Lepisosteus oculatus: one gene and its partner. The protein of the gene in region 1 binds, or shares a complex with, the protein of each later gene. Links are inferred from orthologs where the notes say so. Each region holds a gene or a part of one and is shown on either strand. Other genes may lie near its edges.

Region 1 (7,783 bases):
TTTACACAAACCATTAATTCCACACAAATGCAATTACATCAATAAATACAGTAAGTGGTTGACTAACAGCTTCCTTCCATTTAGCAGTACTTTTAGAAAACCACATATTGACTGTGAGAATCAATAAATGAAATACCCTCCATTTTACAGAGATTATATTACATTTTAAAATATGAATCTGAACCACGGGACCGTGACCACTTTTAACTTTCAAGTCTCTGTAAATTAGCAGGAAAGTAAAGGCTGCTGACATTTCACTCAATTGTGTTCTCCAAGAAGAGAAAGACACCCACCCTTTCCTTTGTTTTCATCTGCTACCTGTATCTAAAATGTTCACACTTAATGTAAACAGAAATGACACCAAGATGTGTGAACAAAACCCCAGTGCATAAAGACCCTCCCACAGAACCCCGGCATTACAGAAATATTCCAAGAAAAAGAAGGGAGAGAAGGGAACATTTCTGCAGGAAAGTCACGGCAAGTCATGTATAAAATTTAAAATGCTTATGTAAGACACTATATTTAACCGCAGCTGTCTCAAGGGTGGATAAAGCATTAAACCGTGAAAGACCGCGAAAGGTTTTCCACCTCCATGCTCTGTGCTTCCGAAGGGCCCTCACTCCAGAAGCCGACCCCCCTCCCCTCCTGACACTGGTCGCTCTGTACTGCGGAGGAGACAGCCGAACGTCAGGATTCACGGACCTTCCTCGTTCCCCCTCAACACGCGCTCGCCCTGACTCGCCCTCGCCCCGAGGAAACGGCTCTCCCAGGAAACCAGCAGGGACTCGACTCGGCTTCAGGCGCACCAGCTGCAGCGCCCCGGGCCCTGCAGAACGGTCGAGTGTTTGCGATGCAGATGGTCAAGCGCAGGGTAATGCCAAGCAGAAAAGGAGAAAGGCTTTCCGCTCCTGGGCCTTCTTCAGGCGCGAGAGAGCTCCCGCCTCCTCCTCCTCTTCAGCCTGGGATTAGCTCCTCCGCCAGCACACACAGAAGCAGGTCCAGATTTTCCCCACATGTCAACAGGAAAGAAGGAGGACCGGCTCTGCCCGTGTCCCACCGCCACTGCAGCAGAGCCCGAGCACGGCCTTCTGGAACCACACTCGCCACGTGCTGTACAGCAGAAAGCCCTCGTGCACCCCTATCAGAACCCTTAAAGCCTCAACGAGACGGCAGCGTGAAACAATGTTTCCTCACATCGCGTTCCACCCCCAAAACTTTCAAAACTATTCCCTGGCTGCAGGCTAGATCAGACCAATGTAAATGTGAGATTTTTCATTTTGGCAGCAATGAGGTTTCCCCAGCACAGAGGACTGTAAAACTTCCAGCACGTTCTCAGAGTCATTAAGTCATCCCTGGGAGGGCAGGAAACTTCTTTCAAAAGCAGATGAAAAGAAACAGTTCCCTCCTGCATCAGGTTGCGTAGTTGACCTCACACAAAGACAGGCCCCTACATTTTTTTTTTTTACCATTAACAATCCGGTTTGGACAGTTGCAGGAATTTAACTATTTTACCTCCCCCCAGGGACTGAACTAAAAAAAAAAAACGTTGCAACCACACATTTATGCAAGTTAAGTCATGAATATGGACTACAACTTTATCCAAGTGGTGCACAGAACCTACAACACACTTTTAAAACATTTAACACTGAAATGTTGTGAACAGTCACCACATAAGTCAGAAGTTGAAGACCAATAAGACAGGAAAAAAAAAAAACACACCATGTAACGTCCCGAATTCCAAAGCACTGCTCCATCTAATCTCCCAGCGATCCCTGCTAGAAGACACCAAGGAGCACATATGCTGCAAGACAAACTGCTGTGCTGGAGCCTCTCACAACAGGTGGAGATTTCAGGCCATTCCGAGCTATGCACTCACCAAAACCCAGAAATGCTTGTCGGTGCGAATTCCAAACTGCATATCAACCGCCTACAGATAGTTCTCTTGCACCTTACGGCTATATGCAAGATGCATGAGAATAAATACGAATCATTCTAAAAAACATTACCATTAGCATCATGCGCGGGGTGTCTGTGCATGGCCATAAAGGAAACTTCCACATCTCAAACTTAAAAACAAGCACGAATTTCTACTGCAAGTCAAAAAAATAAATAATAAATGAAGGGCTCGTGCTCCGAACAAGAATGTGATGTGCATTAACTTTTCCAACCCCACCCACGCGCAATTAACTCATCTGCGTGCACGCAGAACGTAGTTTCAACATGTCAAAACCTTCGTCTGAGACCGATAAAATGCCATATCTGTATCGCTGTATCGATCAACGATATTCATGTTGGTCAGTATGCAATGCCACATCAAATAAATCTAATATGCAAGGTATGCTCTTGCACGCCTGCAGTCTGCAGTAGACCATCACTGACCTGTCACCGCCACTAATGCCCCCTAATGCTCCGTATCAAGGCATCATTACCTTATTGCGGGCATGTTCGCTAGCGAGAGGTCCTGGCGCAGCCGGGTGACAAGCAGCAGACAGGCTCCCCCGTGTTAATCTGAGCAGAAAGCCAGCCGCGGCAGCGTGCTCTCTGTATCAGTTTGCCCCTGAAACCGGAACCCCCGCCTGTATTCTTGAATTGATTGGCCGACACACAAGGGGGCGGGGCGGATTATATACCACGTCCGCGGTTGGCTGCGTCATTGTCGCTCGGGGTCCTAGAACTGCACATTTTTGTTAGAAGTGGGAGACGGCGCCGTCTTGAATGCAAAAGTGATATGCACTGCCTAGCAAGTCCCATCTCGCTAAACTCTGTGATGTCTGGTCCTTACACGCTGCAAAGAAGGATCTGGGCCAAAATTGCGTGTTTCACGGGGGGAAGATTTTAAAACATTCGAATTCGTTTTCTGAAAAGCCCTTTCACTATTTTTAAGACGTGGAAGGCGTTTTGTATGACTTTTGTGCTCCCGCAATCGTAGCAGAACAGTTTGAAACACTAATCTGACATGATTCTGCGTGCTGCAATCCAAGACTTGCGATCCTGAGATCACTGAATTCTTAATGGAAACCGTTCATTTCAGCTCGATTCTCAACAAGTTAACTAATCGACGACTTAAAACAGAAAAGTGGATGCATTTATACAATCCACTGAGTCCCCGATATCAAACACCTGAAGCCAGACATACCTAGCACAGTCAAGGAGTTTGTAGCAATAACTTTAAAATTGCTGTTTAAATTCATCATGACTATTCAATTGATCGCGTGTGTGGGGGGGGGGACACTAATTTACAATTGATATTTGTGAGAACTTCGGGGGGGGGGGGGAACATCTCATGCCAATTAAAGCAAATATAAAAAAAGGCATTTGAACTCCTAAGACCTTTCCTCCTAAAGGCGGGCAACCTGTTCAACTCCATGCCAAAAACTTCGCCCCTCTAGCGATTAGCTGCTCCGCGGCACCTCCCCGCCCCGCCGGCTGACCAGCCGGTTACCCAGCGAGCGCCGGGGTCAGCTCCGACCTGCGCGGCTTGTGTAACAGGGAGACGTCAGCCCCCGCCGCGCGGCTCGCCGCTACACATAACAAAAGACACGTGGAGGGAACTCTGCACTGAGCAGCGCGAGCAGGCGACCTTCCGGGCTGCACGCTCACCGCCCCGGCATGTTCAAGGCAGCTCGGAAGCGCTGCCGCTTTGCGCTATCCATGAACATAGAGATAGAAACAACAGAGCCTTCCTCGGCCACCGCTAAGCAGTTATAATGAGCCAGCGAAGGGTGCATTCATGCTCCGAAATGCACGCGATTCATCTGTTTTAATCAAGACGGTAGACTTAACTAACGCTATAGTACTTTTTAAAAATGGACCCGATTCTTAAGATTATTTTCACTACAATAATACTCCCCTTTGCCCTGGACTAGACGACTGTTTATCTAGTATCCACAAGCATAAGAGTACTTGAAAATTGATGGTAACTTTTACTTTTTTAAATAAGAACCCGGTTCCCATCAAACCCCCCCCATCCCAAACACAACCCGCAGAGCCCGGTGTAACGAACGGGTTAATTTCTCTCAAATAAGGGCGAGCAGTGCACTCAGTTAATAAAGCAGTTTTCCGGACTACCTGAGCTCCTTTTCCTCCAGCTTCGGTTTCTTAGCTTGCGGTTCCTCAGATGCCATCTTCAGCGTACGTCTGCCTGAGCCACCTTGACCAAAAGAGCCAAGAAAAAGTCGTGGGGGAAAAAAAAGGAGTTAAAAACGGCTAAGTTGTCCGCGGAGAACGCCTGAGTGTAGCCGCCGCGAAGGAGCTGCTCTGTCGTTCTTGACCGAATTCAAAGGGAAAATCCGTATAGTTTATAATAAAATAAAATTACAAAAAAAAGTTAAATTCGCACTTGGATAAAGTACTTGCCGTTTTTGTCCCGTCTCTGTGCGCAGGCTGCAGGCACAGAAGTCGGGACTCTCGCAGGGGTCCATGCGGGAGCACAGCGCGGCCATATTGCCACACCGCAGAAGCGGAACTGAGCTCGCACTTCAAGGTACTGGATTGCGCTACTTTATATCTTTCTGCGGGAGGATTTCTTTCGTTTAACCCGCATCGAGGAAATCTGCAGGCTCGTAAGTAGCAAGATTTTTTAAAATGATTAATTTTAGTTACAGCGGGGCTTTGGTTGTGTTCCCCGCATCAAATACTCGAGACAGACAAAGTTTTTGGTTAAATCTACAGGTTGTCTTCTGTACACAGAGACCGGACTACTTGAGAGAACAAAATCATGTAAGATTTAAGTCTGAGCACATTTGCGTGGTTTTAAGTGACGCTGTACTTCGTTATCTATGGCTCACTGGCGCTGTTTTATCAAACTTTCCTATTTTAATTCCACTGTCCTGTTGCACACTTCTCCCTACGTCCTGCGTTTACCTGCACCCGGGCGATGGGGGCTGATCTCTGTCAGGGATTAAGTTTTTTAATTAACTAGTTGACAGCCTCGGCTAACGGCCTGGACTCCGAGGTGCCGGCGAAGTGTGCACAGCAAGAGTTTCATTGTCGAGGTGAGCCGTCCGTATCGCCCCGCCGACAGAAACCCCCGGATTCTACTTTTACTCAGTGGGAACGTTATGGTAGCGTGTACCCCGGGCGGTGGAGAAAGAGCAAACCCAGCCAGACTGCCGAGCCAAAGCCGTAACTCATCGGCTGCTTTTGAACCTTGGCGTTTTCTCCAGCCCGACCACCATGATCCACAGCCTGTTCCTGATCAACCCCGCGGGCGACATCTTCCTGGAGAAGCACTGGAAAAGTGCGGTGAGCCGCTCCGTGTGCGACTACTTCCTGGAGGCGCAGGGCAAGGTGTCCGAGCCGCAAAACGTGCCGCCGGTCATCCCCACGCCACACCACTACCTCATCAACATCCTCCGCGGCAAGATCTTCTTCGTGTCCGTCTGCCAGACCGAGGTGCCGCCCCTCTTCGTGATCGAGTTCCTGCATCGCGTGGCGGAGACGTTTCAGGTGAGCCGTCGCGCGGCCTCGGTTGGGGTGGGGGGTCGATTTTAACTCTTTCTTTAAAAAATACAAGCTTGTGCTTTGTGCACGGATTGATGTAGCTGACCCTTGTCTGGGGTAACGGTCGATAAAAGCGTTTCTCTGGAGTATTGCTTTCCGTCTTCATCGGAAGTATTTCTTCAGTTAAAGGGAGGTGCAGGTGAAATTTGCATTATGCTTTCCCCTTTTCTTCTTAAGAACTCCATATATAAAATAATAATAATTGTTGTCCGTGGGAGGTAACACGCAGGTAGCACACCTAGCCCTTGTTCGGGGTACTCGGGTCTCTTCTGGTTTTTGTTCCAGCTGCGTTTTTAATCGCAGGGTAATCGATTTCAGTTTGCTGTTTCAGCTCTTATAAAATAAGATCACTTTATTAGCCATATACAGTTTCTTGCATTAGGAATTTGTCTATTTCTCATACCCCAGCTTGCTCTCCATGAGACATACAGGCAGGGAGAGACGCTGGGGGTTAGAGTGCAGGGTCTGCCATTGTACAGCGCCCCTGGAGCAGTTGGGGTTAAGGGCCTTGCTCAGGGGCCCAACGGAGTAGGTCTTAATGTCTTTGCCACCTGTCTAGTATCCTGTACCTGTATCAAGCTATCAACCTTGTATCATCTATTATAAGTGCTGGTTAGCCATAAATAAGCAAATTTCTAATACGTTTATAAAGTCACTCCTAATTTCCTGTATAATTTCCTGTATAATTTGGAGCACTACACTTTTAAATCAAAACCCAAATGTTTAAATGATTCAACGAAATTGCGAACTCCCAAACAGGCCCGTTAAAGGCATCGGGCAGCTCCAGCGATTCAAAGCACAGCTGGGACAAAAACCAGTGGGCAAAGAGTGTTTTATCTCCTGAGGTGTGTTGATAGGGTTGGCCCAGGGGACTGTTTCATGCTTGGGGGGGGGGGGGGGATTCTGACCCAGGGTCTGAGCTGGGAACTAACGGGGAATTAAACTAGGATGATGCGTCATTTCACTTTCTACCGTACTATCAGAAAGGCAGGCAGGGCCGAATGGCCTCCTCTTTGCTATTTTTCTTGTGTTCTGAAGTGTGTTTTGTGTGTCTTTCCAAAACAGGATTACTTTGGAGAGTGCTCGGAGGCTGCTGTAAAAGACAATGTAGTTATTGTGTATGAGCTTCTTGAGGAGATGCTAGATAATGGCTTTCCTTTGGCTACAGAGTCAAACATCTTGAAAGAGCTGATCAGACCGCCCACGATCCTGCGCTCTGTTGTCAATACCATCACAGGTAAATCCTGAAAGCCCCCTGTACTTTCCCCCCACAGCCTTGCGCCACGTCACTGGGAAGTTCTGCAGAGTTCAGAACCCCCAGAATAATAAGTAGAATCTTTTTTTTTTTTACAAAAACACTAGTTTGGAACTTATTCACCAGGGACTGATGGTCTCTTTCCACTTTGTTTTGTGCGTTTTGAGTGGTCTCCATGGAAATGCTGCAATCTTCTAAATATTGCAGGCAGCAGCAATGTTGGGGAGACGCTGCCGACTGGTCAGCTGTCCACTATCCCCTGGAGGAGGGCCGGGGTCAAGTACACTAACAACGAAGCTTACTTCGACGTGGTGGAGGAAATAGATGCCATTCTGGACAAGTCAGGTACAGTCGTGATGCTTCACGCTGGTGCGCGTGCACATGATTTTACCTGTTACACTGACACACACAAAGCTGGAGTCAAGCACTTGTGTGAAGTACTTCTGGACACGCAAAAAATGATGTTCTGTCCTGAAAAGGTGTTTTCTGTTGCTTCACAAGAAGAAAGTCTGGTTTTTCAAAGATGTCATCCTGCAGTAACTTTGACACTGAGCTGTGCTCCAACTCCTGACAAGCACAGTTGCTGTCTGTCTGACCGAGTGTGTTGCATAGCACATTGTGCCAGTCTAGATGAGGTTGTCACTCTCCCTTAGCAAAGGAAACACTTGTGCAGGCTGCTTTCGGTTATTAATTTTCTTCTTCTGAGGTTGTAATGCACAATGATTTACTCTAATAAAATGGCTAGCATCAGATTCTAAATAAAAACGGGAGGTTAAGATACCTCAGCCACTCATTTCAGTGAGAAGGTTATTATTGAAAAAACAATGTCCGCTGTTGAAATGCTGACTGCACTTTTGCCGTAGATTTGTAAAATGGCGCAAAGGAATTGTTCTCTCTGGTTTTGACAGGCACAACAGTGTTTGCAGAAATCCAGGGCGTTGTAGATGCTTGCGTCAAGCTGTCAGGAATGCCAGACCTCACACTGTCTTTCATGGTAAGAAATTGCACTGGCGCAGTGACATTGTA
Region 2 (8,076 bases), on another chromosome or scaffold:
TGAAGAAGAGTACAGTTCTGCCAGTGCATTGCCAGCCTAAATGCTTCAGTGTTCGAAACACCAAATACTAGTTCAGTGATTCTACATTCACTGGACTCCCACAGTGTTATCCAGCCCTCCACGTCTACAAGATCAATATTGACCAAATGTCATAATGCTCTGGTAGTTTAATCAGTGATCAAGACCGAAGCATTCCAAACTTTCCTTGGACAAGGAGTGCAAATGGTCGCATTTCAAAACACAACATCACAGAGACCGGGATCTTGAAAAGGCACCACAGGTCTAGTTTAAATGGATGTGTGACAAAAACTATAAAATACTGGAGAAGCCCAACCTTTTACCAAAATCCCCACACACTCCACAGAACTGATTCACTCAAATGTTTTACCCACAAGCCAATTCCCTAAATTCCCCTTCATTTCCCATCCTAAACTAGCACATTCACAAGCCAACTTCAGAAAACAGGCTTTGTTTTTTTTTTTTAAGTTAGAACTGAAGGAGAGGCTCTTGAGAACTCCCCCCTTCTGTCAAGGCCTGACCACCTGGCCTCCGGGCTCCCACAGAAGGTCAGCAGACTAACAGACTAGCGAACAGGCCTAAAACACCACCGCGTAGCTACACGGCGTCAGTGACCGCTTTCCAACGACAGCGCCGACAACTGAACCCCGTTATTAACCCCCTTGTCCAGAGCCCCAGAGACCGTTATGGGTTTAAAGGGGTGCACGTCCAGCAAGCAGGATGCAAGGAGCTCGCATGCAGACGTTCCCCCGTTGCCTCCAGAGAACTGTACCCAGAGCAAAGGCCCTCCAGCCTCAACAGAACCGCCGCAGGCGCACACGGCCCACTCACTCTGGATCTCCGCTCCTCTCTCACACCGAGTGCTCCCGGGAGGGGAGAAGAACACCAACAACGAGTGACACCGCCTTCCCAGCAGGGGCCACGCCCCCAGCCCGTCACACCGGACCAGCGGGATGAGGCCGACCGACCCGGACGAGCACAACCCCACTCAGGAGCGACCTCCATTGGACCCTCCATCAAAAAGACCCGAGCTTCCATGAAATATTCATAATACTTGCGTTCTAAAAAAATAAAAAAAACCCTCAAGTTATCGCACGATTTCCGCGCAGCAAACGGGAACAGATCCATCCCTCCCGAGAGCCGTCCCCATCCTTCGGTTCCAAAGCGGCCTCCGGCCAGGGCTTCAGCTCCGGCTGCAAGCGGAGAGCTCAGGTTTCATATTAACCCCACGTCAGGCGTCACTGCCGACGCCAAACGGTCACGCTAGAACTTCACCTTCAGATCGAAACAAACACTGAACAGGACTGTAGCGCAATGTCACAAAATATCATTTCAAACAAACGAAAAAAAAAGATCAGCAGGCCTGCGCGGGGGGTAAGGACTGGTGTGGCAATAAAGAGTGCGCTTCATAACCAGGCTATAATTACGCAAGAGGCAGAAAGCTTTATTTAGAGCATTCAGTGTCAAAGGACTTATCAACCTGTTGCCTCTGAACAATGTTTATCTTTCCAGGAAAGGCAGGTATGGAACAACTCTGGCAGAACCAGTTTCAAAATCATCCACTGTGCTAAAAAAAAAAAAAAAAAAAAGCCTCTCATTCATCATGTTTTTTCATGCAATTAAAGAGGCATCAAGTGCACAGCCCCACCAGACCTGGCTGCCCCTTCCCTAGGTCACGACATTAACTAGACACCTGGACAGCGGGGGTACAGAACAGTTTCACATCTCCTGGGAGGAAGATGTGATTTTAAAGAGGTATTTGGAAGAAGCCAGGTGACAAAGAAAAAAGAGAATCTCTCCAGCGTTATTTTAACTACCTGGCTCTAACTGAAACCCAAGATCAGATCACTTTATTGGCCATATACAATTTCTTGCATTAGGAATTTGTACCCCAGCTTGCTCTCCATGAGACACACAGACAGGGAGAGAAGCTGGGGGTCAGAGTGCAGGGTCAGCCATTTATACAGCGCCCCTGGAGCAGCTGGGGTGAAGGGCCCCAACAGAGTAGGATTCCTCTGCCGGGCATCGTCACCTTTGTCACGAATTGTGTGCGTCACTGGTGGACTGTCAAAACCCAGGGCCCGTCTCCTTGTGGGGGGTTCACGCGTGGAGCCCAGCGATATCGGAGCCGTTCAAGTCGTGCGTGAACACCCCTTTCCCCGGGAAGCCGTGCGGACACCAGAACCCACTACGCGCATTTAAAGACCTTAACGCAGGCTTAATCGCCACCCCCGAGAAAGCAGGAACCTTTAGGTTTTGTTTTGGTTTTTTTTTTGTTTTTTTACACCCGGGTAGGTTACGCACGCCGGCGATTGGAAAGGCGTCAGCGCCAGTAAGTCCCAAGCTCGAACCGGAACCGGCGTTTTTTTTTTTAATTTTGTTATGAAACGTCGTTCACGGCTCGCCGAAGACGGACAGCCAGCGAGCCCCGCTCCCTCTGGGGTCGTGTGCCGCCGCAGGGCGGACAGACAGCGAGGCCACTGTGCTGCCGGAGCTGGAGCTGCTGTTGTTGTTGTTGTTCCTCGTCTTCACCGAGCGCCTCTGCCGTCACGTGAGGCGACGCCGAGACAATGGACCGGCCGCGCGCCGCCCCGCTCCCTCCTCGCGCCCGCGGCCAGCAGGCGGCTCGCTCGCACCTGAGCGCCACCGACGTCGCGACTTAACACGACCGGGAGGGGAGGGGAGGGGCGGCTGCACCCCCTCCTCCTCCTCTTTTTAACGCAACACTCAATGTCAAAAATGTTATTTTATTGGGACGTTATTCCTATTAAAAGGAAAACAGAAAGCAGGCTCCGTTTGGCTGCTGGCGGTCCCTCGGTGCTACGTACCCTCCTTGAAAATGCCACTGCTCGGCTACTTAAAGACGCGCAATGTCAGGTTTTATCTTTTGAAACATGGGGACAGAAAATGGGGAGTGGGGGAGGAGAGAGAGAGAGAGAGAGCCTAGCGGTCTGGCTAGCTGCCCCGGTCAACCCGGTACGGACGGCCAAACCAATAACACAGCAGCCGCCCGGGTCTCCTGGAGAGCAGCGCGTCTCGTCCGAGCCCGTCCCCGCTGCGCCCTTGTGTCAACACGAAACAACCGGGCTGACACACGGCTCCCACGCACGGCCGCCGCCGCCACTCACCCAGCAGAGCCAGCAGAGCCATCCCGGCGAGGAAAGCGCGTTTGCCGGAGCGCTGGGCCATGTCGTCAGAGCGCGGCTGACTCGGTAGATCACGCAAAACACGGCCCCGGTGGACTGGGACAGCCGACGAGACAGTCACGCAAAGGGGCCTCCACGCCGCCGAGCCACGCACTGCGCCTCCTTCCCACTCGTCCTGAGCTGTATCCCCGGGGTTTTTTTGTTTTTTGTTTTTATCTCAGCCTCGCACTCCGAAGGCGATCGACCCGGCCCAGACCCGCTCGCAGAAATCCGTCTCTCTCCCTCTGTCCGCCGCTGTACCAGGAAGAAGTGTCCCAGTCACGTGAGGCCCCTTTAAGCCCCCCCCTCGCGCGGTCACGTGAGCCCGGGCCCGCGCCGCCCTCGCGAGAGCCTCCCTCTCCGGGGGGAGGGGGCTGGAATGTCTTCCTCGCCGTGTCGCGACCGTAAAGTGGGGATTGCCACAGAGTTGCGTGGATGTTGGACATCCCACCCCGGCTGCGGTGGTGTGTGTGTACACGCGGGGTCTTTTTTCTTCTCTCTTCGTCGGGGAAGGACGCCTTTGACACAAAACTAGACTCGTACGAACAGCGCAGTCGGGCTCGGGCACCGACCTCCCCCCTCCTCTCTCTCAGCTGCTGTGTGACCATGAGTGTCCCTCTCGTCAGCACCAACGCGCACGGACCAAAATAAAAACAAGTGTGTTTTTGAACACACGTTTTGTATTCTTAATTATACAACCGGCGAATAAGAGACAGGCACCCCCCCCTTGGTCGCTAGAAATCTGGAAATTATGTAACTGATCATCTGGTCACTAGATATCATGCAATTAACCCCGTTGTGTCCCAGGGTAAATGACAAATCGAAAGGGAAAGGTTTGGAGTGCAGATGTTTGTGCCACAAATGGAGGTGTGACCTTGGAACGTGGCCCTGTGTTTGTGTGGGTTACCTCTGGGTGCTTCAGTTTCCACCCCCTGTCCAAAGACATGCTGGTGGGTTAAGTGACTTGTGTGAAAACTGCCCCTGGTGTGTGTGTGTGTGTGCCCTGCGATGGACGGGACACCTGTCCAGGGTGTACCCCAGCTTTGCTTGCTGGGAGGGGCTCCCGCTCCCCCGCTACCCTGTATTACAGCTGGCATTTAGGAGGACTTGCTGGTCGACAGAAAACTGCACGGGGTACTGGCACACAGAAGGACCTGATGGAAGACTTAATACTCCACATTTAGTACTTCTGTAGAAGTGTATCATATGAGCATGCCCAGAGGGGTCGGGCAGCCAGCTGACCTTGGACCCCTAGAGGTTTCTTTCCTCCTTACAGAGGAGTTTTTGGTCCCTCTCCTCCGTCGTCTCTTGGCCTTTTCTCTTCCTGTACTGTAACCTCCTGTACTGTCACACACAGCTTTGTTCAGCGCCTTGGGCCAACCTGGTTGTGAAAGGCGCTATATAAAAATAAACTGAATTGAAAATTGGAGTAGGCGGAGGGGAAAACAGATGAGTGGTAGATCCTCTTCGTAAGGACTGGAAGTAATCAGCATAGGAGCAGAAATGGAGTGGTGGGCTTGTTACGGCATCAATGAGACGAAGGCCCACACAACAACGTGAGCTGGGGAAATAAAATCAGGAATACCGTGGAGCTGTCACAAGGCAACGTCGAGAAGAAACTCGTCGGTCCTGCGTTTCCATGAAGTAAAAACAACATTATGAGGCCCTGGATCATTACACAGGTGTGACCACACCTAGAACGCCACGTGATGGGCCAGAATACCGAAAGAAAAATACCTGTGCTCAAACAATCTGTTCTCTCACGAATAGCACGACCGAGGAAAAGACAAAGGTGGAAAAGAACTTTGTGCAATGTGTTTGCCTTTTTAAATACATAACCAGGGAGCGCGGAGCACATTCAGCAAACAGGTAATCATCTCTTCTATTGCAAAACGCAAAACTGAGCTCTGTGCTTTTCGCTTTTGTTCACCGAAACGTGCCGTTCTGGGAGATTCAAGGTTCAAAAGCCCGACTTCCTTCCCAGAGAGGCAGAACACAATGAAGTAGTTCAGGTGGGGAGCTGCGTCAGCAGGCGGTGGCTGCAAAGGAACCAGTAAAGGTTTGTTCCCTGCTGAAAAGAGAAGGAAACAACGTTTCGGCTGTGGAGCCTTCTTTGGGTGCAAGAAGGCTCCACAGCCGAAACGTTGTTTTCTTTCTTCTCTTTTCAGAACACAATGAAGATGAGCCGAGGCCTGTTGAAGCGGGACCGTGGTGCCAGATGTCTCTTGGGATACACATGTACTGGACTCCTGCAAGACTTTCAAGCTGCAAAGTCAAAACAGGCCTCATTTGGTTGTAAAGGAGTTCCCGCAAAGAAGAGTCACAACCTGACCCTCTTATTTGGTTAAAATACATCCATTTGACAGCATCAAACCTGTTCCATAATATATGCAGGGCACACATTTAAACTGGTGTATGAGCCTCAGAACTTGGACTTCTCTCAAGACAAATGAGTTCCAGGAGTCACAACGAAGCATGCCTGTCATGTGATGGGTATTTTAGGGCAAGTCATGAATGGGATTGTAATTTCTGGAGCACTGTGAACCAGAACTTACAAAAAGAACAAGTAAAAACAAAAGTTTTGTTTGTTAGGATAAAAAGCAATGTGCTAATATTGAAAAGGCTGTTTGGGAGCAACAGGCAGAAGAACTCTTCACAATCCTTAGGCAGCAGACAGACATTCCTGACAACTGTTTTTTTTTTCTGTAAAGATCTGTTGGGAAAGGAAGCCCTGAAAATACTTTATATTTGCAGAATTCCAGAATTTGTATGGTCCTCAGGATCATCCACCTAGATACACAGCAGCTAACAGCTAAAAAAAAAAAAAAAAAAGAGAAAGAAAAACAGTATTTCCTTCATTTTATTATCTATGCAATATCAGCACCTTTTGTTTCACCATTGTACAGAAGTGCATGTACTGTAAAGTGTTTCAGTTTCCCGTAACAGCACAACCTGGCTGCTGGTAAAGGGTTGGAACAGATTACGTTAACGAGACTGTAGAAGCGATGGATACCCATGAAGAATAATAAGACATGGCACCAAATACTGAGATTGCTTTTTTAAAAATAAAATACCACAATGCTATTATACAGTACTTAGCAAATACACGAAACGTCGTGTTTTCTTTCTTCTCTTTTCAGAACACAATGAAGATGAGCCGAGGCCTGTTGAAGTGGGACCGTGGTGCTGGCAGCATGCAGCCCAGATGTCTCTTGGGATACACATGTACTGGGCTCCTGCAAGTCTTTCAAGCTGTGAGGTCAAAACCTCAAAATCATCACTTCACCGATCCCTGTGAACACAGTAAAGTCCACAGGCAGGTGCAGAAGTCGGTGGCAACTCCTGCAACATATCTGTCTGAGCTACTGTGCTCAAGTAGCATATCATAAGCAGTGCTTCTGGTGTAATTTTCCACAGGGGCAGCCCAGCGGAGCAGTGGTCAGCACTGCTGTCGGGCAGGGCCCCTAGGTGCAGTTCCTCGGTGTGAGGTTTGCACATCGTCCCCGTGCGTTCGCATGGGTCTCCTGCCCCAGGCCAAAGGCACACTGGTACATTCTACATTCTTTCCAAAGTAGTTCAGGTGGGTAGCTGCGTCAGCATGCGTAGGCTGCAAAGGAACAAGTAATAGGTTTATTCCATGCTGATAAAAAGAAGAAAGAGAACACAACGTTTCGGCCGTGGAGCCTTCTTCAGGTGAGGAGCCACCTGAAGAAGGCTCCACGGCCGAAACGTTGTGTTCTCTTTCTTCTTTTTTTCAGCATGGAATAAACCTATTACTTATTCTTTCCAAAGGTTCAGTTTAATTTAGAAATCTGTAAAGGTAGTTTATAACCGGACAAGAAGGAAGAATTAGCCGGACAAAGGACTTCGCTTTTTGATTAACGATTCGGTTTAAGGCTACTTCATCCTACATACAGTATAGCGCATATTTAGGTTAATGGGCTTCTGGGAGAACTGGCCCCATCGTGAGTGTGCGTGTCTGCGTCTGTGTGCCTCCGGTGATGGACAGGATGTATCCCACCGTGTGCCCTGAGCTCTCCAGGATAGGCTCCAGCCCACCAGACTTGAACGGGCCGCATCAGCGGTTATTTGAAAGTGATGTGGTCTATCTGTTCTTACTGGAGTGAGTGCAGTGGTAGCCAGCAGCCATATCACCCTGCAACTCACAACTGGCAACCCACTGAAGCTAAGCAGGTGTGGGCCTGTTCCATGTTTTGTTCCATGTTAATTTTATTATTTTTATTTGCTTTGGCAACACTGATTGTATCCATCAGTCATGCTAATAAAGCACCTTGAATTGAATTGAATTGACCTGGATGGGAGACCTCCTGGGAAAAACTGAGGTTGCTGCTGGAAGAGGTGTTAGTGGGGCCAGCAGGGGGCGCTCACCCTGTGGCCCACGTGGGTCCTAATGCCCCAGTATAGTGATGGTGACACTATACTGTAAACGGGTGCCGTCCTTCGGATGAGACGTAAAACCGAGGTCCTGACTCTCTGTGGTCATTAAAAATCCCAGGCCGTCTCTCGAAAAGAGTAGGGGTGTAACCCTGGTGTCCTGGCCAAAAAAAAAAAATTCCCATTGGCTCTTACCAATCATGGCCTCCTAATAATCCCCCTCTATGAACTGGCTTCATCACTCTGCTCTCCTCCCCACTGAGAGCTGATGTGTGGTGAGAGTACTGGTGCACTATGGCTGCCGTCACATCATCCAGGTGGGGCTGCACATTGGTGGTGGTGGAGGGGAGTCCCCATTACCTGTAAAGCGCTTTGAGTGGAGTGTCCATAAATACATAAGTGTAAGCAATTAATTAATTAATCATGTATGAAACACAGCTGGCAGGTGACCAACAACTACAGGGCAGCTAACCAACAT

Evidence for each region. The genes of interacting proteins can lie anywhere in the genome.
Region 2: the proteins of ap3m1 (region 1) and lamp1a are in contact, whole or in part, in a cryo-EM structure (PDB 9C5A), measured with the Homo sapiens proteins. The link is inferred for Lepisosteus oculatus from reciprocal best matches to the Homo sapiens genes AP3M1 and LAMP1. Residues at the interface, in NP_001307192.1 of Homo sapiens: Glu178, Tyr180, Phe181, Asp182, Gln381, Val389, Asn390, Arg391, Leu392, Phe402, Lys403, Gly404, Val405, Lys406; in NP_005552.3 of Homo sapiens: Ser410, His411, Gly413, Tyr414, Gln415, Thr416, Ile417.

What each region holds. Positions count from the first base shown.
Region 1 is NC_090699.1:17,732,326-17,740,108, reverse strand, and holds the start of ap3m1 (AP-3 complex subunit mu-1), read left to right. Parts: upstream 1-4,431; 5' UTR 4,432-4,562; intron 4,563-4,671; 5' UTR 4,672-4,719; intron 4,720-5,165; 5' UTR 5,166-5,175; coding exon 5,176-5,448; intron 5,449-6,567; coding exon 6,568-6,739; intron 6,740-6,964; coding exon 6,965-7,102; intron 7,103-7,665; coding exon 7,666-7,751; intron 7,752-7,783. Other genes in the region: adka (adenosine kinase), read right to left, coding at 4,069-4,124. UniProt on the Homo sapiens protein: Part of the AP-3 complex, an adaptor-related complex which is not clathrin-associated. The complex is associated with the Golgi region as well as more peripheral structures.
Region 2 is NC_090710.1:28,757,380-28,765,455, reverse strand, and holds the start of lamp1a (lysosome-associated membrane glycoprotein 1a), read right to left. Parts: upstream 3,466-8,076; 5' UTR 3,208-3,465; coding exon 3,147-3,207; intron 1-3,146. UniProt on the Homo sapiens protein: Lysosomal membrane glycoprotein which plays an important role in lysosome biogenesis, lysosomal pH regulation, autophagy and cholesterol homeostasis.